Arabidopsis thaliana: one gene and its partners. The protein of the gene in region 2 purifies or fractionates together with the protein of the main gene of each other region. This does not show direct contact. Each region holds a gene or a part of one and is shown on either strand. Other genes may lie near its edges.

What was found.
Region 1: the proteins of ERF1-2 (region 2) and AT5G35680 fractionate together in Arabidopsis thaliana (co-fractionation; one large-scale study listed by BioGRID). This does not show direct contact.
Region 3: the proteins of ERF1-2 (region 2) and AT2G04520 fractionate together in Arabidopsis thaliana (co-fractionation; one large-scale study listed by BioGRID). This does not show direct contact.

What each region holds. Positions count from the first base shown.
Region 1 is NC_003076.8:13,855,538-13,863,004, reverse strand, and holds AT5G35680 (Nucleic acid-binding, OB-fold-like protein), read left to right. Parts: upstream 1-3,991; 5' UTR 3,992-4,127; intron 4,128-4,381; exon of another isoform or gene 4,382-4,410; 5' UTR 4,411-4,415; coding exon 4,416-4,802; coding exon of another isoform or gene 4,803-4,853; exon of another isoform or gene 4,854-4,854; coding exon 4,855-4,920; 3' UTR 4,921-5,084; downstream 5,085-7,467. Other genes in the region: iqd33 (IQ-domain 33), read right to left, coding at 5,095-5,223, 5,309-5,665, 5,757-5,870, 5,947-6,153, 6,229-6,675, 6,761-6,835.
Region 2 is NC_003070.9:4,393,668-4,402,111, forward strand, and holds ERF1-2 (eukaryotic release factor 1-2), read right to left. Parts: upstream 4,527-8,444; 5' UTR 4,441-4,526; intron 4,251-4,440; 5' UTR 4,193-4,250; coding exon 2,888-4,192; 3' UTR 2,681-2,887; downstream 1-2,680. Other genes in the region: GAPA-2 (glyceraldehyde 3-phosphate dehydrogenase A subunit 2), read right to left, coding at 1-183, 377-481, 575-742; ATAN11 (Transducin/WD40 repeat-like superfamily protein), read right to left, coding at 1,447-2,487; AT1G12930 (ARM repeat superfamily protein), read right to left, coding at 4,921-5,157, 5,249-5,365, 5,438-5,595, 5,680-5,791, 5,881-6,068, 6,247-6,339, 6,509-6,696, 6,990-7,075 and 4 more. UniProt on the Arabidopsis thaliana protein: Directs the termination of nascent peptide synthesis (translation) in response to the termination codons UAA, UAG and UGA. Modulates plant growth and development.
Region 3 is NC_003071.7:1,572,179-1,580,114, reverse strand, and holds AT2G04520 (Nucleic acid-binding, OB-fold-like protein), read left to right. Parts: upstream 1-4,154; 5' UTR 4,155-4,415; intron 4,416-4,870; 5' UTR 4,871-4,875; coding exon 4,876-5,313; 3' UTR 5,314-5,553; downstream 5,554-7,936. Other genes in the region: CPZ (Metallo-hydrolase/oxidoreductase superfamily protein), read right to left, coding at 1,504-1,593, 1,685-1,759, 1,835-1,903, 1,996-2,109, 2,185-2,280, 2,346-2,416, 2,491-2,653, 2,921-3,307; AT2G04515 (uncharacterized protein), read right to left, coding at 5,804-6,394.

The DNA.
Region 1 (7,467 bases), on a different chromosome or scaffold from region 2:
CCCCTGCATAGACCATGATGATCGAGTATATAATTATATAAAGCAGAAAAAACTTTAATTGAAAACAAATCCTAACAATTTAAGAAAAAAAATATCCTAAAGATGAACTCACCTTCCTCCATGACCACCCTTGTTAAACTGATCATTGCCTTTAAGGATGAAACTTTTTTTATATATTATTAATTTTTTTTATAATGACATCCTAATGATATTTGTTACACTTTCAATGTTACAACTTATGTTTGTATATACTCCCCCAAATAATAGTATTGGATACAGTTTTTAAACATAATAATCATAGTTTTTAATGTGTGTTTGAATCCATAATTTTTCTATATCCATTGATATATTCAAATACATCATCATCAAAACCCTAATATTTTACACTCGTTATAATAAATAACAATTGACCGTTCATGATATGGTCAAATCCAACAAAATTTATGATAAAATGGAAATAAATAGAATTATTGGCTAGCATGAGCAACACAATTAATAAGTAAATGGATTAAAAACAATATAATATGTGACTACATTTACAAATTTAGATAGGAAAATGGTAATATATGATTGTTAAAGTAAAATATTCTATTCATACATCTCTCTTTTCAAATTTAGATAACGAATGAGCCCTAATTTAAAATGGTCTAGATGTCTTTAATCACTTTGACATTGAGAACTACAAGAACATGTTCATATTGTCTACAGCAAAATTCATACATTATATAACAATATGAATAGACTTTAAGGGACAATCAAGCAATGAAGTGTAATACTATATATACATCATATGTAACAATAATAGTTTCGGATATGGGACACACAAGGAAATGAAAGGAGTGGAAGGATTCTCTAGTTAATTTAATTGTCGTTTAGTTGTAAATCGGTATATTATTTGTCTAGACTGATTAGCGGATAAAACACCCACTTCCTAACAAATTTTACTTTATTTTTATATTCATCAATACAAATAAATATCTTATAATTTTTTACACATTAATAGTTGTGTTAATGTATGTTCGAATCAGTCATACCAAAAATAAATATATGTTTGAATCCATATTTTTTTATATATGTATTAACATATTTCAAATACATCTTCAACTGTTTTTCTCGGTTATCAAAAATAACATATGTAGTCAAATAATTAAATGTGAACATAAGTTTCGTTTAATGTGTGTTTAAATACTTACAATGTTCTATTTATTAATCATATATTTAATGTGTGTTTAAATACATAATTGGTCTGTATGCATTTACCAAAAAAAATAAAACTTATAAGTTTTAACACAAAAATCATAAATTTAATTTAAAGTAATTACATGTAAAAATAATATGTGTTAAATATGTTTTTAAAAGGGAACGTATATTTTTATGTTTAATATGTATTTAAATCATAACTTACATGTTTTTTTTAACATAATAACCATAGCTTTTAATGTTTACTTGTATCCATAATTTTTATATATGCATTGATATATTTCAAATGCATCATCATCAAAACTCTATCTTAGTCTTTTTATAATAAATAACAATTGACCATTCATGATATTGTCAAATCCAATAAAATTTATGGTGAAATGATCAAATGAAAAGAAATAAAATTATAGGGTTATTTTCAAAATGGGCACATTTTTTAAAAAAATCTTTGATATTGGGCACTTCCCGATCAAAATGGGCACATTTTAAAAAAAATCTTTGATATTGGGCACTTCCCGAGTGTACTTCGAAAAATGGAACTTTGATCCCTTGCAATTGACGCTTTTGCCCCTAGCAAAGTGATGAGACATTGACGTTTTCCTTAGCCGTCTTTGTAACTCTGACGACTTTTTTTCTCCGAATTTCTTCATCTCCATCTTCCTTCATGATTCCTTTTTTATTTTTCATTTTTCTACAAGATTAAATCGTTTTTAATCAGAGAAAAGTAAACCCTAAGATAGTATAGAAGGAACCCAAGTAAAATGTTTTACAAATTTTGTGACTGATTTGTTCTATTTTTGTGATATTGAAAAGAAGAAGAAGATGAAGCTTTGAAGGAGAAAGAGCCTCTGCTCGCCGGTATCGAGTTGTTGTTAGCTTCCGTCGCTTTCTCTGTTCCATTCAGCTTTGGTCACCGCATATCTAGGTTCGTCGACATTGCTCATGACTTGTGAATTTATTCTTTAGCTTCGATATGATAATTGAAGAGTAGAACGGTATATTTTTAAAGAAAAAATGCCGATTTTCGTAAGTACATACGAAAGTACATATGACTACATTTATAATCACAACAAAATAGTAATATATGACCTTTCAAGTAATATATTCTACTTATCCATCTTTTTCTCAAATAAAGATTACGAATGACCTCCGGTTCAAAATGGTCTAAAGCTCAACAATCACTTTGTAATTTAGAACCAAAAGAATAAGCTCATAATTTCTAAATCAAAAGCCATACTCCTCGACTCCTCAATTAAATAGATATCTAATTCACTAGCATTATTAGCAACTTGAAGGAATCTTAAAAAGCAAATTCATTTTACCATCAAAATCGATTTCTCTAGTAATCGCAATGAATAATTAAACCATGAGAATTAAACTGTAGAATATTGGAAAATAAAAACTAATCAATCAATTTTGACGAATGAATTTTTTTTTCCAAAGACAAGGTTGGATGTCGCAAGCCTCTTTCGTATAGGGTTCTTTTCTTGGTTGCCCTTTTCAATAGAATATAACTAATTTCTAGATTTTATATATTACAGATTATGATTATTCAATATGCAAACATATAAATAGGTGAGAAAGATATAATGGAAGATGTCTTGGTTTGTTATTATGCAATATATGTGGTCAAATTGATATTGGAAAGTAATGAAGATAAGCTCAAAATGAATATAAAGATAGAGAAAGTAGAAACATGATTATGTGAAATCGATCAATGTTTTTGAGCATCAATTCCCCATTTCAGTCAAGACAAAACAAAAGATAGTCGGATTAATAAATCCATGATTTTACAAGTTCTCATACTATAATTAAATCCTTTAGAGATAAAAAAATATATCTACATGCATGTATTATTTGGCAGTAGAAAGAGAGATTATGTTCTGATCAAAATCTCTTGTACAATATATGTGATGAAAGGAAAAACTTTATAGAAGATGTGATAATTGTAACTACAACATTTCATCTATTTATTTAATTTATGTCTTCGTGCACAAATATTTAAATGTGTATTGTAAAAACAAAATCTAAGGCAAGACAATCTATTTTAATAAATTTGACAATATTAAAATGATGTAATAGTAACGTAGGATAAAGTAATTTTATGTTTATATTTATTTGTATTGATGAAAAAGAAAATAAAGGAAATGAAATGTGTCTCTTAAATTATAGTTTTAAAATAATAATGATATAGATAATTAAGTATATTAAAACTAAATAATGGTATTAAGATAAAACGAGAGAAATCACATGTCACAAAGAGATGTCATATGTTCACAAAGACACAAACTTTCTAATTAAAAAAAAAAAAACTCAAAGTCTTATTAAGAAAAGAGAGCTGCTAATTTATGTAGAAATCTTTCTCCTTTCCATACTAAAGTCCAAGCTTTACTCTGGGCAATGAAGTGTATGGTTGATGCAAACAACCAATAAGTAGTTTTTTTAACAGACTGTTCAGATTTGGTGAAGATAGTATATTTCCCAACTAAATGATCAGCATTTTCAACATATTTAAAGGAGTTTCAGAGCGACAAGGAAGAGTTCACTTCTTTTTCTTTATCTTTAATTTTTCGTAATGTAAATGTCAAGGCGGATAATAAGTTTGTGCTGAATCGTTTCATATCACTTATATAAACAAGTTTCGTCAAGATTGGCTCGTTTGAACCGTAAATAATATATGTTGACAAAAAAATAAAATAAAAAATGGCATGACTCCGTAATAAAACCTAATTTCGAGGGTGTTTTACAAATAGCTACACTATTTAAATAAAAAGACGTCTCTTGCGACATCGATAAAAAAAAGTAGAACAAGCAACACAACGCAGCTAAGAAACCTCCTTAAAGAACAAAGAAAAAACTTGGTGAAATCGATTCTCTTCAAAGATCGTCTTCCTAATCACTTTCAACAACTCGATCAATCCTTACTGGTAATCTCTTCCTTCCCTTTGTTTCTCAATTAGGGTTTCCTTTACACCGCCTTAATTTTTCAATTCAAACTCCAAATTAGGGTTTCCACTGAATTGAAATTACCCAATTATGTTTCGATCTAATTGTTTCTCGTTACCGGAATTGTTTTGATCTGAATTTTGATTCTCGAATTTGCCATTTTTTGTCTGAAATTGAAAAAAAAAACGAATCAATTCTTCAACCTTTTGTAACCTTTACGCCATTATATGATCAGATTCTGATTCTGTATCGAATTTGATACAGAGACGATGCCGAAGAACAAAGGAAAGGGAGGAAAGAACAGGAAGAGAGGAAAGAACGAAGCTGATGACGAAAAGCGAGAGCTTATATTCAAAGAAGATGGACAAGAATACGCACAAGTTCTTCGTATGCTCGGTAACGGTCGATGCGACGTTATGTGCATTGACGGTGTTAAGCGTCTTTGCCATATCCGTGGTAAGATGCATAAGAAGGTTTGGATTGCTGCTGGTGACATCATACTTGTTGGTCTAAGAGATTACCAGGATGATAAAGCTGATGTTATACTCAAGTATATGTCTGATGAGGCTAGGCTTCTTAAGGCGTATGGTGAGCTTCCGGAGAATACTCGTCTTAACGAAGGTATTGTTGGTGATCTTGATGATGATGATGATGTTGTTGGTGAAGATTACATTGAGTTTGAGGATGAGGATATTGATAGGATCTAAGTTTGTTTTTGTTGTTGGCTCTCTGTTCCAGCTTGTATTATCAAATTTGAGATACATATCTTCTTAGATACAGAAGATTGTGATACTATCATTGTTATGTATTTCTGGGGTTTCCAGTTTCTTATCCCTTACTATTACTGGTTTGATTTGAATCCCTAAATAATTTACAGAAAGTTGTTATCTGATTCGAAAGAACAAACTTTTGTGATTTAAATGCAAAGATTTACAGGTAATGCTTATCTTAGGTGCTGCTATTTAGCTTATGTGAGGTTTCTTCGCATTCGTTTCCTGTTTTGCAGCTTGTGGGTGTGGTTTTGGCCTTCTTTGCTTTCTTTGTTTGTTGTTGCAGATCACTTTTGGTGGCCTGAAGCTGCAAACGTAAAACGAGACAGGTAAGTATGTTTGAGATAGATGGGACTCAGAAACTTCTATGCATTGTGGGGTTTTTTCTTTACCTTGTGATGCTTTCTCTGGCTTTTGTAGCTTGGAACAGATTTACGCTTAGATATACTTGGTTTAAAACTACTTTTTTCGGTCTGCAAAACTGTAGTTGCATCTCCTTGTGTCTCTGATATGCTTTCAAAATGGAGAGGTAGGTCGTTGGAAGCACAGCTCTCCAACTCGCCAGCTGTACCAAAAGCTCTATTCTTTCTTATCAAGCTTTGATTTTTCGTTGCAACATCTGTTCTTGGTTCAATTGGAATGCTGTCTGGTACACGGGTTGCCATCCAGCGTTCTAACCAACTCCAACCGATATTGGAATCATCTTCACTGCTACGATCTATTTGTTTCTTCTTTGAGCAAATTCTTAGCTTTAAACAAATGTTTCACTAGTTTAGAAAAGATAAGTTCTTTGGATCTTTTAGGATTCAATCTGTGATCAAGTGTTTTGAAATCGTTTACCTGCTGTGAAAATGCATACGCAAGTGCTCTCTCCCGTTTTGTCATTGCTTCGACTCTGCTTTGAATCCTTGATTTTGATATGGTGCTGCTCACTGTACTATCATCCCAGTCTTCCTGTTACGTGAGCATGTTATGGTTATTTTTCACTATTTCTTTGAATTCCTCTATACTGGACGAGATCTTTACTTACCTTTATCCTCAGAACTTGAGTGTTGTTCTTCTGTAGTGTTCTTCGATTCGCAGATACTCGCTTTCTCCTGAAAAATGGTGCTTTCACGGAATTACCTGTCTGAGCTTCTAGTGATGTCCCCATGGATGCATTGTCTTGAGATTCCTCTCCTGAGAAGCTCTCCTCCTTAGCAAATGTTTCCTCTTCTTCTTTGCTCCGGCGTATTGCCTGAAGAAATCCTAACAATCAATGTTGTGGACATACCAGAAGAAGACAAAAAACATATTGAAGGGAAAGACTAACCAGGTAACTCCTGAATGCTGACTGAATTATGACTGCAGCGTCTTCTTCGAGGAACAACTTGGAGATTGGAGTAGTCTGATGCTTCTTGGGTATGTGTGTCTCTGTTGCTTCGCTTTGGTTATCTTCAACATCTTCTTCTTTTAGATAACAATCCAGTCCTTTCGATTTCTCCTCCAGTAAAGGTTGAGTCACTGTTGCCTCAGAGCTCTTAACGGAACCAGAGTCCTCATCCTCCAAATGTCTCACAGAAGCTGAATCTTCGATTGCGATAACCGAACCAAAAGGCATACCGAACTCTGAACTCAGTTGCTGAGACATTGTAAGAAGAGCCTCAGAATCCTTTATCGATTCTGAATCATTCACAGCGCGAACAGAGTTAAATTCATCTCCGCAAAGGTATGATCTAACCGAGCTCCATCGTTTCTTCTCTCCTAGATTGCCTCTTCCCTGAAAACATTACAACATTTGAAGTAGTAGATAAAACAAAAACCAGAACGATGATGGGTTTTTGATGAAAATGACAACCACATACATTGTTGTAGTCATGAGCTCCAAATGATTTGTTCCTGAAGAAAATGCTTCTGACTAATCCTCCTGTAACACCCATTGTTTCTCTCTATGTTTCAGAACAATTTGGATAAAGAACTTGGGAATTGAGAAATGGGAACAAACACACATGTGATGAGATTGATTACTCTATATAAAAGCTATGAAAGAAGAAAAAAGAAAAAGAAAGGTGCATTATTTTAGAATCACAAGCACATGAGTCATGTACAAGAGTACATGTAAAAAGAGATTCAAAGGACATTGTATTAGAGAGAAAAAGAAGAAAAGCTGAAACATAGCGTATAGTGCAATTAGTGATGATTGTGATCCAGAAGAAAAGCATCTCTGTAAATGAGAGAAATATATTTATATAATGATTTTTGAGTGAAGTCGTGAGTGTTTGTGGTCTCGACTTTGGATTACTTTAAAGAGTAATAGAGAGATGCTTTGGTATGCACATGGAGATCATTGGATTGGTTCTTTTCTTATGCAAACGGCAATTTCACTCTATTCACTTTCCTAATGGCTTTGCTTTTTTTCTTTTTATTTCATTGGCAATGGAAAAGTTATTTGGTACGGTTTACTCTGTTTTGTGACTAGAAAAGGTAATGATATTGTACGAAACCAACTAATTTTGTTGGATTGCGTTTGGAGTGTTGTGGTAATCTCACAAAAGTTTTAGGTCGAGGTTTA
Region 2 (8,444 bases):
TTTGAGGAGATGTGATGCTTGTTTAACACCACCAGTGTCGTTAATGACAACGACATCAAGAGGAGAGTCCTTACGACCATGCCAACACCTCAAGAAGTTCCTACCAATCCTACCGAACCCATTGATGGCTACCTTTATCTTGGCCTCGGTCACCCCTTTCCTGTATCCACCATTGCTTCTCATCTACAACACAGAGACAGAAAAAAAAAACGTATATGGTTAATCATGGCTGATCATGCCATGCAGCCTTGTTCATCATGGATAGATCTACAATGGTGGCATTAGACACAAGAAACAGCTCTTGAGTTTACAAGATTGCACCATAAGATATATAACACAGGAGCAATAGAGAGGAGTGGGTGAAAAAGGAACTCACTGCAGAAGTTTGGAAACTGACGAAGGAAACAAACTCATCGGAAGAAGATCTCTTGGCAAAGGGAAGAGCAGAGGAGTTTCGAAGTCCTGAGAACTCAGAAAAACCCTGAAAAAGTAAAACATGAGAGTATTTATGAGATGATGATAAAACTTGTGTGAAGGGCAATCAGATAATGTGGTTAGGAAGATGAAACAAAACCTGAAGAGATGGTTTGGCCACAGAGAAAGTAGCCGAAGCCATGGCTACCAGAGAGAGAAGCTTGTTGTATGATGTAAGCAGAAGAGGCAGAGAGTTGTAATATAGGAAAATATGAATTGCTGAGTTGGAGGCAAAGAAGATGAGATTCTGGATAGCTTTGTCATTCATTTGTATGGTTGTGGTTTTATCTCTCTTCCCTCTTCACGTTTTCTATGATTCACACATATTTTTGATTTTCTCACTTGGGCTTCACAAGTGGATGGGCTTCTCCATCATGTGGTCACATTTGATCTAGTGACTCGACGACATAGCTTTTCTGACATCTCTATGCTGCAGATGAAAATCACTGACACATTAAGAAGTGTGACCCTTCTTGCTCCTTCTTAGCCATTTAAAAGATTACACATTTTGTCTTTGTAATCTCAAAGAAAGATGTGTCATTATGTCTCTGTACCTTTTTGTTTTGCGCATTGACTTTATAGAAAGCTATTCCAAGAAATACAATAGGTACTGAGAGGTGTAACTAACTCTAGCAGTCCATAGCTCTAATCAAATACAAAACTAAACCTAATCATCCACAATTGAGGTACACACTTCCCATGGATCATACTGCAAAGATTGTGCTACGAGAGAAAAAGCAATGAAGCAAAAATCTAGATCAAAGGATTATCCTTTCTTATCAATCATACATCAATAAGAGTCAGTGCTAAGCTTTGCATCTTGAGTATAGCAACAAGATCAAACAGATTCATTAATTCGATTGAGAACAGTCTTTACATCTTGAGGATAGTAACAAGGGTAACGAGACCCCTAATACGATAGAAAATGAGTAAAATCTAATCTGACAAGAGATGAGAAATTCTTTGAAAAGATCAAACCCTGAGAATTTGCAGCTTAGTAGAGAAAGCAATTGCGACCCAATCAGGCTGAGAAGAGGACCACTGAAGCTGCTCAATCTCAGCACCAGCAGTGTAAGCTAGAATAGGGTCAAGACCACCTTCAACATGCTGTCCCATGGATGAAATATCCCAAATCAAAGCTTGAGAATCATCTCCAGCAGTACAAATGTGACAAGAGCTATGAGGAGCCCAAGCAATGGCATTGACACTAGCTTGATGTCGTTGAAGCTCAACCACAGGAAGAGCCGGAAAACGAATGTCAAGCACCACAACTTTAGCACTGTCCATGATAATAGTAGCCATGTACCTAGGATCCTGTTTGTTCCAACCAAGACGCACTAAAGGAGTATCAGGCTCGGAGCTCTCATAGATAATCGTCGAATGTTCCTTATCACGAAGATCAAACACCCTAACGGAGCCATCAGCTGAAACAGATGCAAAAACACCAACACCACCCCAAGCAATATCAAAAACTTCCTTATCATGAGCAATAAGCTGAGTATCAACAGCTTCACGCTCAATGTCCCAGATAGTACAAGTCGTATCAGTACTAGATGTTCCAATTCGACGTGGCTCAGCTTCATTCCAATCAAAAGAAGTAAGAGGACCACAAAACTCACTGTTCTTATTGCTATTGAGACAAGATTTGAGCTCAACACGGGAATGATCATCAGCGATTCTCCATAAACGAAGGAAATCACTTGAAGTAGCGAGAAGATCAGGTCTTTGGCATTCCTTGTCAGGTATGAAAATGGTCTTCGTTGGTGGATAAGGATGCTCAAAGGAGAGGTTAGGATCGGAACGGATCTCACCATTGGATTCATCGAGCTGCACAATCTCGACACGGTTCGGGTATTGCTCGAGGAGGCTAGTGATGGCGAGACGATACTTCTTATCGCGACGAACGCTCCAATTCATTGCGTAGATGTGCCATGGCGCTTCGTATGTATAGATCTCTGATCGCTTCTGCTGCTCATCGGAACCATCTTGAATCGGATCGCTGCTCGTTCCCATCGTGAAATCGATTCCGAGCAAAAACCCTAGAAAATCGCCTCCGCTTCTATCACTCGCTCAAAAGCAAATGGATATTCCAGTCATCCAGTTTATTTTAATAATTGACGAAAACGACACCGTTTAAGGAAAACAGAGTAACATGGCTAACATCGTTATCTCCGTCTCTTCTTCACCAATGATTTTCTCGGAAAATATAAAACCAGAAGAACAACAAAAAGATGTTTAAAATCCTCAAAAATTACAACACAAATTGTCTAACAGAAAGAAAGAGTCAAGCTTTTTAATGTTCTATAGAAAACAAGAAACTTAAATCTCTCTTCTTTGTTGATAAAAGACCATCTTTATGCCACATTTTCCCTCACTGTATCGATCTGAAACCATCACCAAAAGTTTTCCCACTTTAATCAGAATCTTCGTAAACTTCAGTATCTGATAACTCATCAAATGTCCTCATGTCAAGCTGGTAACGTAACATACCACCAATCCCACCAAAACCTCTGCAAAACTGTGACCCTTCTTGGGATTTGTTAGTCACAAACTCAAGAGTGCAGCCGAAACGTTTGTACTCATTTGCAAACCATTCGAGTAGAGGCATCTTCTCCTGTACTTCTAGCTCCGCGTTAGTCTCTGAATCATGGAAGTTGCTTGTATCAGACTCTTGATCTTTCCCAAAGTGTTTCACCACCATTTCTCCTGTCGTACTGTTCTTTAGCTCATACCTGTTTATGTCCAGATTCTCCCACACGATAAGGGTTTCGATAGCACCCATTTCTAGAGCCTTTAGAGTATCCTCCACACCGAAAACGTATTTCCCGGTATCTTGACTTATCTCCTCAAAGTACTTCCCAATCAGTTTCTTCTCCTGTATGAACTTCACATTGGATAGAATCTCAGCAGACAGCTCAATCGCTTGGTTGAAACCGTTTTCACCTCCGTAAGAAACATCAACAACATTCAATATCTTAGCTTGAAGACGAGGATCAAACAACTCTGATTGACTGAGCTCAGTTTTGAAATCAGCTGAACCAGCAAGGATCAGACCAGAGACATTAGGCTGACTCGTAGCTGGATTGATGTAAAACTGTGTAGCAAGCTCAGCGGTTTTCCTAACATAATTGTGTCTCTTCTCCATCCTAAGACGGGCAAAACGAAGTGCAGACTGTCCTCCTCTTCCGTGCTTCTTCGGGAGATCAACAGTAAACTTATGAAGAACCTCTCTAGTATTCCCACTCAAAGTTCCAAACAGTGTCCCATTACCATCCATAACAATGAAACCAAACTTGTCATCAGACTCAAGAAGCTCGTTCAATGCCTCAGTATGGAACTTGTTGTCACAAAGGTACAAGGAAGCATTAATCGGCCTAAAGGGCTCGAAATCAAACGTCACCTTCTTCTCTTTACCGTCATCATTAACAATGGTGCCGGTATAGAGAACAAGACCATTAGTAGGAACCTTGTTGTAAAGCTTCAACCTTTGTTGAGCAGAAGTAATGGCAGACAAAACAGATTGACGATTGACTCGACTCTTAATGTTTGAAGCAGTTCCATATTCATCACCAAGCATCTTTGTGACACGAGATACTTGATCACGAGGAGGCATAATAAGAGAGATCATACTCGTTCCATTACCTCTAGCTGATTCAAGTCCCTTGATTAGTTTCTTAATCTTCCAGATCTCGATGTTCGTATCCGCTTCTTCTGCCATTTTTAGCTTCTCTCGAGGTCGAAGATGGAGAAGGAGAAATCAAAAAGCAATCCCCCAACTACACAAGAAGAACAAAATCAAGTTTCAAAAATGAGTACTTTGAACAGCGTGAATTTCGGACACAACACTACGAATTTTGGTTTCAAGTGAAGTAAAGATCGAAACTTTTGAATAAACGATTACGATGAACAGATTGAATCCATTATGCAGAGAGATTGAAATCGAGCAAGCAAAACGTAAGCTCGTACCTCTTTTTCTCTCTCCTCCGGCGGCCTCTCTCCTCCCAGAATTGACTGGCCTAGGGTTTTCCCCAAATTCTAACTCCCAACCCAATCACGTGATACTCACGTGGCAAACCACATGGAAAGCGAGCTAATGGGCTTTATCTTAACTCAAAAGGCCCAATTACGTGAAAAGTGGAACTGGCTGTAGTCTACATTACCAAGACGCCTTCAAACTGCGTGCCGTTTATTGGTTTGCCTCATAGATTCAAAATAAATAAATGAGAGTTAAATGTTAACAATGGGATGTATATTATTATCCTTCTCATCAGATGAATCTAAAAGAAATGGCTCAAGATTCTTCATGAGGTTTCTTTTCCTCTCCTACTGTACATTAGAAACAGAGCATCGACAGAAATGAAGAAGATGATGGATCATTGCCCTCATTATTAAGGCAACAAAATAAAATAAACATTACAAAAAAAAAAAGTTTATCGATTGATTTATTCATATGATGTTTGGATTTGGATCGTTTCGATGAGAATCCGCAAAATCTCTCACTAATCGCTTCAATGTTCGACCGTGTTTCCCTTGCATATGTCCTCCTGAACTGTTATTGCTTCCAAAATTGCAGCTTTTGTTCTCAAGATAATCGATCCCTGCACCTCCTAGAGCTTCTGACCATTCCCTCACTATGCTTTCTGCTTCTCCTTGCTTTAGATACTCGCTCGGAAGTGCCCAAACCTGAATACAAACAAACAAAAAAAAGCCATTAGAATAAACAACACAGAGGCGGAGTTTGGTGTTGATGTGATCACAAGAGAAAGAGAGAAACCGCTGAGTTTAGCCATCCTTGGAGAGATTTCCAACACAACATTCCTTTCCATGAAGTCCTCTCACATAAACTGCAGATTGCAGCTAATTGTTGCAGTATCGTTGAACACTTATGGACCTAAAACAAAAACAGAATCAAATATCATAATCCATCAACTACTTTTTGAGAGATCTTACTCAAAAATCTTACCCTTGACATAGCTGCAACTCCAAGTAGAGCATAGACCAGATTAGACAAAAGTCCCTCTCCACAGTGAGATACGACCTGGACAGAGACCACGCTGAATGATCCATCTGATATGCTATTCACGGTTTCGATCATGGAAGAAAGTGAAACCTCCAAGAAACCTATAAAGTTCGAAAACATTGTGTTAAGTATGCTTATAACCAAAAATTAATGCTGTTTTCGTTTGTAAACCACTGCAACCTTACCTGATAAGTATGACATTGCAGCTAAAGCAGCGCCTCTGTGCATAGCTGTACAACATATAGCCGCTTTGTGGAAAGAAATTTCAAGAAGTGTTCCAGAAGTACCCAACAACTCCTGTTTGATCAATATAAATTCACCCCAAGACTCCTTAAGAAATTATGAACTGAAAGTTATACTTTAACAAGCAAAGAGTGGTTGCAAACCTTATGACAACTACGGATAAGTGCTGATGCGAAATTCACATACGCTTCCACCAAATCGGGTTCTTGGTCGCATATATATGAAGAATTTATGCCCATCAGTGATGATGCTTGAGTAAATCTTTCAAACGTAGTGATAAATAAGGACCCATATTCCTCCTTATGACAAAATTCTTCGGCGATTACACAGGCTGTGATAACAAGTTCGTGAAAAGGTGAAGTTCAGACAACTGGCTGGTCAATAAACTAAGTTTGGGAAATAATTTATCCAAGCTCGCCAATAAAAACTGTGACAAATGAATCAACGCTAGCATCTCAAAAGATTTTTCTCCAAAAGTGGAGCCTGTACCTGAATTAAGAAACCCTCACCTGTTCTTATGTAACATTCTTGGCTTTGGAATGACAGAAAGTTTCTCGATAGACAATCCAGTACACTAGGTAGTAACAGCATAAAGTGCTCACCTGTGAATAATGCAAATTTTCACATGTTAGTGAAACCTGCCTACTGTGCGAAAACAAGAAATTTTCACAGGTGTAAAGGACGCTTTGGAATAAAGAAATGTTCCAGGCTAATAAAGGCACAACGAGTCGAATGTAGCGGAATAAAATAGGGAGATGAGAAGTTTGAAACCTGACGACTGAACTGCCACTGAAAGAGCACGGCATGCTGCTGCAGCTAAACTACCACTCTCCATGTGTTCAGACCTAAATAGCTTCTCCAAAATGGGCCAGAAAACAGTCAACAAAGAAAGGATTGGACCATCTGCCACAGGAACAGATGGCAGAGACGTTGCAAGGTGACTGAATACAGTTCCTATCCTGATTCATGAAACGAGTGAAGAGCAAAGTCATCAATATGATATTCTTCCCAAATTTGAGTACACCTCAAAAGAAAACTACCAGAGAGTGCAAGCTACTAAAGACCATGGATTGATCAGAGTCATTAAATCTATTTTGCGCCCGGTTACCAGAAAAATATATATAACACAAAATTATGACAATGTTATTTATAGATGTCTTGAAGTCCGGACGCAGCAAAAAGTTCACCAAAAAGCTCCTAGATTACATCGCAATTAAGCAGGATAGAAAATAGATCAGTCACAGAAGCAGACCTGTAAAGACCTCTTGTAACAGAGCTCAGCATTCGTGTATAAGTGGCTGGACTTTGTCTACCAGAAGACTCAGCGTCTTCATCTACCTAAAACCACAAAGGTATTAGTCCAAATCTATCTCAGAAGTGCATCAAGGCACGGAAACATTAGAAAATAATCCCAGAAAGAAAAAGATCATCTTCCAGGTATCATTTCTGTACTATCTATTTATTTTTCTAGTTACTAGCTGAGATATTGATGAATACTGGCCTCAGAGAAGTATGTGGACAATTAGCTGATTATTTTTTCATTAATGCAGAGCAAAAGCAAAGAGCTACTTGTACAAGAAAAAGAATGAGAAGGAGAACCTTGAAGAATAACTCTTTCTAACTGAACAATATAAACACTTACAAGTTTCGAAAGAACTCCATAACTTGACGAAAGCAATTGAGTTAATAATTTATTTTGTAGCTCTTTATTAGCAACAGAGCCAAGGATCACAGTGATAGCGGTAATGACTTCTTCTTCATCTTCCAAGGTCAAATCCCACTGCTCCAAACACTAAGAAAAGTAAAAAATATATATAAATATAATGATTCAGGATATAATTTCAGCGTAATTTGAAGTTTGCTTTGACAGTTAAAAAAAGGGTCTGATTAAGCTGATACCTCTCCTATCCACATTAAGATATCTAAATTCGATGTTTCCTGGATTACAGCAGGAGCATCCTCACAAATTTTACGCAGAGCAGAAGCACAAGCATGTGAACAAATAGGTTCGGAAATCCCTCCTGCGAGAAATAATCTGAAACCAGAAAGACCATGCAGCACTTATGTTATCAGAGAAATTGATGTTGAACATCCTTACACAAGATTGAAAAATAGCATCAGAAAAAAGAAATAAATATGAACAGTTTCAAGCTAATATGCTAAAAAAATTATTGCATTATTGTGAACGGTCATTGAAGAAACTAGACTTACAGCAACGGTCTGGCGTTACTTGGAAAAACAGAGATCCATCTTGAATAGGAGCCAACAACATCTGCCAGTGATCTGTATACCTAATAGTTGATTATTGTCAAATATTGACTGCATTTACAGTACAAGAAAATTGTTGGTGAGGCAAAGGTATGAACTGACATACAACAGATATAAACCCCTTGAGCTCGCTGGACGGCCTAACGGAAAATGCAGAAACCAATTGCATGATCAATGCAAAATCAAAGGCCTCTCCCTCTTGCAAAATAATTTCAGAAACCTGAAATGGTAGAATCCATTAATAAAGACAGGGATGAACAATAGAAACTAAAACTCCTGAAAACTGTCAAACTTAAGCTATGATTTCCAAATCTCCAAAAAAAAAAGTGATAATGGATGGATCACTAAAAGAGACAAAACAACTAACAGTAGAAAACCCATACAATGTGATCGTACCCCTCTGGGTTGTTCTGAAATCAGAAACTTAAGATGAAATAAC
Region 3 (7,936 bases), on a different chromosome or scaffold from region 2:
GACAATCTTAAACTATAATGAAAATCTTATAATTTAAATATGTGGCCAGTTCATAAATACAAGATCCAAATCAATTACCAAGGAGATAATCAGCAAGATTTGCATAACAAATCGTTCAAACATATAAGCTCACGATAAAACAATCAACATAGATCGCTACTGGAACATCTACAGAAATTATTCTCTCTCTCTGAACCATCTAGAAAATAGCAATAAAAAGAACAATGAGCTCCAACGGCTATTTAAGCTCCGTCAACACCAACGGCAAACCCTCTTCCCGATCCAGAGTCTTTCACTTCTTCTTTCTCTTCCTCAAAGCCTATGTTTCTTTTAGTGAGTCTATTTTCTGTTGACTCTAGCTGACGTGGAGTTGACTTTTTCTTGACATACGATTGATGAATCGTATCACACACCTAATGGTAGTGAACCAACACAAGATATGTAATCAGGAGAGGACTCTCGAAGATTCCCAAGGTGAAGAAACGAAAGAGGATACCATCTCAAGCTCAAACTCAAACTGCAAAGTGGCTTTGTCAGAAGATATTCAGAGATTAGGATTAGGGTTTGGTAGTGTCTTTGACGAATTTGGTTGCGTAATATTACGTGGATACAACTCAAATCTATGTAATTCACCTTTTTTGCATTCTTGGTGATTGATCGATTATTGTAGTATCTTAACTTGTATGTGTTGCTCCATGTTTGTAAAGTTGGTAGCTTTTATTCTCTCTGTTTATTACTAGAACTAGATATAGACCCGCGGTACACCGCGAGTTGATTATTTGCGTTAGAAATTAAATTATTTTTTCAATTCAATATCATCTACATTTAGATAATCAAGTTATATTTTGAATTTATCATCTTACTTTTTATATAGATTTACTTTTGATGTTATATTAGTATTTGTTTGGTTTGATTCTGTTTAGTTAAGAAAACCTGTTTATTATACGCATCATTATATAGAATGTGTATTTTATGGTGCATTATGATGTGTTTGTTATATAGTTTTTTGTTAAAAATAAAAGTATTAAAATTGTTTAAATTTAATTTTATATGTAATTGTAGTTATCTTTAAGAAAATAATGTTTTTCTGTATGAAATAGATGTATATTATGCTTGGAAATTTATAAAATTCAAATTCTTATTGTAACACAAATACAAAAATTCAATCACTTAAAATTCAATCATGTAAGAAACCAAGATAATCCACAACTACAGCAAAAGGCTCATTCTTGTTTCAGAAACGTGCTAATGAGAATTGAACAAGTCTTCACTAACAACTTCAAAGATAATAATCACTCCGTCACAGTGTCATCACTTACCCATCTCTGCAATTTGACGACTTTCTTAATCTTTTATGATACTGCTATTGCTTGTTTAACAAGTATTTTTTTTATAATCTTGATAACTTTTTTTCATTTAACTTACATTAGCGAGTTCCCTATGAAATTACAGACAAAGATGTTTCAAATGCCTACTTTTGCTTGCAATATCCTTTAAGCTCTTTTAAGAATATCTTGACCTGAAACCTTCTGTAAGAGGAATGACTTTTGCGGATACTTTCGATTGCAACTTAAGCACAGCTTCACGGATTTCCTGCCATTGCAACCACAAGTATTAAGATGAAATACAACATAAGGGGCTAAAACTTTTACTAAGAACATGAAAGCCAAATTCAGACTCTCACCTCTACATGGTAACGTGATGAGAAATGCGTCAATAATACAGTTTTGCTCCGGATCCACTTTGCATTCTCAATAATCTGCAATTTGTTCATGGAAAATTCCTCTTACAGTGTGCTTTTTACAGGTGTGTTTGAACATAAATAGGATCGTACCTGAGATATATGAGTATGACCGAGTGCTTGCGCATGCTCAGTGCTAAAACTTTCATCCAAGAAAGTTGCCTGCCAGATCGGTTAAGCTCAGAAACTATAACATAATCCAGTGAAGTTTTAAAATGATATAACAGTACCGCCAATAGGATTCAAGTAAGTACCTCAGTTATAAGAACTTTTGCCCTCAACGCATCAGCATTACGAGGGTCAAGCATATACTCTGAAGTTGTATCTCCAGTGAAGGCTATCTCGGGGGATAATATCGTGTCCGTAATCTGTAATTAAGTTCAATATTATTGTACTTTATCAAACCTCAATATCAGAAATATGGCTTATTATAAGCAACAAACCTCGACGCCAGACTTTTTAATCTTTTCTATCTGTTTTCCTTTGAGGTGAGCATACTGCTTCTGCAACTTCTTCCTGACCGAATAGATGACATAACCCTAAAAGAACTCAAGATCAGTAAAAAAAAAAGACGCTCTCATGCCACATTCACGATGTGTAGTACCTGACTTGGTATAACATGGTGAGTTGCAAATGGTCTAACAACAATGTCATTGCGCAACTCATATGTTTCACCTGCCACCACCAACAAAGAACTCAGATTCGCTATCTAAACAAGGTTGGCTTTTAACAAGTCACTATGTCATTACCTACAGCAAGTGGTATCAATTCTACATTCAACTCTACTTGACCCATAGTCCTGTGAATCTCAAGAAGTTTCTCAACATCTTCTTTAATAGATGGTGGCACAAATATTTTCGGTGGCTCAAGATTGTATAAACCACGGCTCGCTACATACATTGGAAGCCCTCCCTGAAGAAAACACTAAACTTAGCCACAAGATTCATACAAAAGATCCCATAACTCAATCAATAAGCAGAAACATCAAACCAAATCTAAAAGTATGTTCAACAAAACTAATCCTTATCCTTCCAAATCATAGTACAATGGCTCTATTTTGAACTAAAATGTATCATCAATTCAACACTAAGATTCATCCACAATTCAATCAAAAGGCCGAAACTTTAAACGAAATCTAAAGAGGGTTTTGAAGAAAGACTCAAATTTTGAACAACTCACGATATGGTCAAGATGGGCATGAGTGATAAAAAGAAACTTCTGCTGAATAGCACGAGAAGGGCACCTCCCAATATCAAAGACACATTTGAGCTCAGGGACGATAACACAAGTCTCGTGCCCACCTACAGAGATCCCTTCAATTGCATAACTCTCCAATTCGACACCTTTACGGTTCACTGCAGCGCGTGCTTTCCGATACTCTTCTTCTTCCTCAATAGCTCGGCTAATCGATGAGAAATAGCCAGAGACTTTGACGGGACTCACGAAATGTCTACGGTTGCTCTGTATCTGTGCGGCGAGCTGGTGAGTAATCACTGGAGGTTTATGGTGTTTGGTGGAAGGGAAGATTTTGGGAGGTGAAATTGGAAACGAAGAAGAAAGCTGCATTCTTTTGTGAGGTTTTACGGAGGTTTTTGGGGTTTCCTCTGTCACTCAGACATGAAACGATAGAAAATGCAAAGAACGGCCTTTTTCTTGGGATTGAGTGAGACCAAATTAAACTGATCTACTACATATGTATAGCTCCGGTTTAATGCTGGTTAGGATTGTTTTTCGGTTAATTTGGTTTAGTATAGATTGTAATTTGTATATATGTATCCAACATTTGTAACAAAATTTATAGAGGTATTCAACTATTCATCATACAATAAAATTTTATTAATTTATAAAAGTACTATTAATTTATAGAGAGTTTAAACTAATTTTGTAATTTTTAAAAGATTTTTTCTAAAAAAGATTTTTTTTATTTGTAATTATTATCTTTTTAGAACCAATTACAAAATAATTAAAATTTATTATGTATAGACAACAACAAAAAGAGTTTTGAATGTAGTAAAAATATTAAAAATGAAAAAGGAATATAGCAAAGGTTATGTTTCACTAAAATTTCTTATATATATATATTTTAAGGAATTTATAAAATTATTAATTTATGATATTGATGAGAGCATATTATATTAATTTTATACAATGATTTTTTTAATAAAAATTATTTTATTAATTTATCGATTTGTATTAATTTTTACTATAGTTACAACTCAAAATCGGAAGAATTTGTTAATTTATAAAAACTATTAGTTTATCGAATATTAATTTATAGAAATTTTACTGTAATATTATAATTTTTAGAGGTTTAACTGTTTTTTTTCTTTTTTTTAAGAAAGGTTTTACGGTCTTAGATCCAAAATTGATATAATACTCAAACCGAACTAACGATTTTTCAATCCAACCAAATAGAAAATCGAAAAACTAAACCAAACCAAATGTCAGATACTCAGATTGAATGAGTGGTAAGGTTCCGTAATAAAACCTAAAACTAAGGGCAACAATCAAAACACGTTTACTTTTATTATAAACAGATTTCTGGAGATATCGAGAACATTTTCGCAGCCGCAAGCTACAAAACTTTTGATCCCAAATTCAACAGATATCTCTGAATCTATCGCTTCCAAGGGTTTTCTCTAGCTTAATCTCAGATTCGAATCGTTCCATAGTGGTGAGCTTCGTGTTCTTCTTTCGTCTCTTACTCCTGATTCTCGATTTTAGGGTTTTCAGTAATTGCGTCGGCGGCGAAAGTCTTTATCGCCGATCGATCTTCCTTATCTAGAAATTATTGATCAGAAACTGTTGGGTTTTGTTTGATTCTTGTCAAGTTTTGATTTTTCATGCGAAATTGCTCAATCCCAATTCAAAGTTACGATTTTTATTGAAAACCCTAGATTGGTTTCTTCAAGTTTGTCACTTTGATTCAATCTAATAGCTTAGCTTAATCGTTAAGTCTCTTTTTTGGTTTTAGGTTTCATTTGCGATTTAAAGGTTCTTGTTTTGGTATTTGTTTTGCTTTGGTCCTTTAAGTTTGAGAGGCTTATGTAGATTATAAGAGAGAAGAGTATTGCTTTGCATGTTTAAAGGAAGAACTTTTAACTGAACATTTGTATGATTGGTATGTAGATACTATGCCGAAGAACAAGGGAAAGGGAGGAAAGAACAGGAAGAGAGGAAAGAACGAAGCAGATGACGAGAAGAGAGAGCTTATATTCAAAGAAGATGGACAAGAATACGCACAAGTCCTTCGTATGCTTGGAAATGGAAGATGTGAAGCTATGTGTATCGATGGAACCAAGCGTCTTTGCCATATCCGTGGTAAGATGCATAAGAAGGTTTGGATTGCAGCAGGTGATATTGTGCTTGTTGGTTTGAGGGATTACCAAGATGACAAAGCGGATGTGATCCTTAAGTACATGTCTGATGAGGCTAGGCTTCTTAAGGCTTATGGTGAGCTTCCAGAGAATACTCGTCTTAATGAAGGAATTGTTGGTGATCTTGAGGATGATGATGATAATAATGATGATGACTATGTTGAGTTTGAGGACGAAGATATCGATAGGATCTAAGGCTTTGTTTGTTTTTTTTTTTTCCGGCTTGTATTTCCAATTTGTGAGACGTATGACTTCTGGTGATAAAACATCACTGTTGTTGCAAGATACTTACTGTTTTATATTTTGTTCTTCAATATCTCTATTGTTGGTTTCCTTGGTGTTCTTGTTGCATAAGTTTGTCTTTCTTCGCAATCCATTCAAAATGTTGTGTGTCACTGTTGCTTCACACTCTTAAGTTTAGCTGGTACAGAGAAGATGAATCGAAATGATTATGCGAATGCTGAAGCTGAAAGTGAATTCAGTTCAGCTTAAGAGAGTAAAACATAGTAAGCTGATAATGCTTGATATAGAAAGCATTATGTTGCATGGATTCATATGGATGACATACATAAAAGTGGGCACCAAAAATACAGAATCTACTTGTCCAAAGAGAGAAAATTATATACTTCTCCTGCCGAATATGAATACTAAAGACAGTTTAACTTGTTAACAAAACTCAAAAAAGTTATATACTTCTCTTGCCGTATCGAATCTCTGCCTTCATCTTCCTGATGAAATCCTCACATTTCTTGTTCAAATCTTCTGAACTTAATAAACTATCATTTATCGCATCGTCATCATCATGATCATCTAGTCTAGTGATTGAGAGGTCTTGTACTAGTATTCCCTCATCTTCCTTAACAACCAATGCAACTTCTTCTTCTTCTTCTCTAGATAAAACAACTCTTCCTTCTTCTTCTTTAGAAACATTACTTTCTTCAAGTAATGCCACTACTTTATTGACTTTTGTTTCTTTTAAGTCTTTGATCCCTACTTCTTTGGTTTGTTCAACGATGTTAATGGCTTTACCGTGCGAAAGGGAGTCAGAATTCCCATGGAAACTCCCCAAGATAAAGCCCACAATCCCATTGCATAACAAGAACATGTACTTCTTGTCCACAAGATTGCTATACATGGCAAGCAAATGGAGTCTTTGTTGAAGAGAAGAGATTAAGGAAGAGTAAGATAGTATAAATGAGAAAATGGATGCAAATGCTATGATCTTAGTGACTATTTTCATCTCCTTCACGCTTCTTTCTTGTTTTTGAGATTCCATCTCATCTATCTCTATCTCTCTCTTTATATCTCTCTTGCTCTATGTGTCTTGCCTTTGAATTGAGAAAAAGAATGGTGAATGCGCAACAAGTTTGCGGAACCTATTTCTTTTTTATAGATTAGTGGGTGGGTTGTGTATAATTTCACCATTTTAATTATTATTTCTTTTGGTTAAATTACTCTTTTGAACCATTCACACCAAATTAATCTTTAGTTTTTTTTTGTTTGATTATTTTTAATATATCCCTAACTTAGCTTAAAAAATTACCAAATAGTTGTCGATAATATAAGAGATATTTTTTGAATACAGTAAAACCTCTATAAATTAATAATGTTGGGATTGTGAAATTTTATTAATTTAGAGAGGTATTAATTTATCAATAAATTAATAAAAATTACCAAATAGTTGTCGATAATATAAGAGATATTTTTTGAATACAGTAAAACCTCTATAAATTAATAATGTTGGGACTGTGAAATTTTATTAATTTAGAGAGGTATTAATTTATCAATAAATCAATAAATATTAATTTATAAAGAGATTTTCCTAATTTAATAATTTTTAAAAAAAATTATAATTTTTTTATTATAGAAATTATGTTTCTAAAACCAGTTACAAGTAAAACATATTAATAATTTCTAGAAAACAACACCAAAAATTTTGATAGAGTAAAATATGTAAATTATAGTAAAACAAAGGGTAAATATGAATTTAAGCAAAAAATTATTATAAATATATTTTTAAGAATTTTATTACATATAATATATATATATAGTTGATACATTTATATAATTATTAATTTATGATATTGATGAGACCATATATTTACATAGAACTTTCAAAAAAATTATTATCTTATTAATTTATCGATTTGTGTCACATTTTACACTGGTCCCAACTCGGAACCTGAAGAATTTATTAATTTATAGAGGTTATTAATTTATAGAGTATTAATTTATAGAGGTTCTACTGTACTAATTGAAAAACAAGTATTATTATACTTTATGTGTATAAATGTCTTAAAATTATACTTTTAGAAATCAATAGTGTTTTTTTTAATACCAAAAGGTTATGGGTCGAAGTCCGTAAACCTCCATGCCAAAAACCACAACATGTAATATTAGTTTCGTTCCAACCGTCACTCGAACCGGTGACCTCTATGTTTCGTCTATAGTCTTTATCAATTAAGCTAATGTCACTTGGTCACAACTCAAACAATAGTGTCTTTATTGTCAACTGAAACAAATGTTTATCAAAAATATCAGTTTTGTTTTCTGAAAAGATAGCAAATGTTTAACAACAATCGGTCGCAACTCAATGCTACTACCTTCCACGAAAATTCTTGAGTTCGTGGATTTTTGTTTTTGTCGTAAGCTTCTTTTGTCTGCCTTTGAAAATGTCATTAAATATGCCAAAACTAAAAGACCATTGACTTGATTTGTGTTTTGTCACAAAAGGCCATTGACTTGATAGATGTATTTCAAAGTCAGCTACTCTATGGATGCTTGTCGTTCAATGTCGCGTTTTCTAAATTTCGTCATT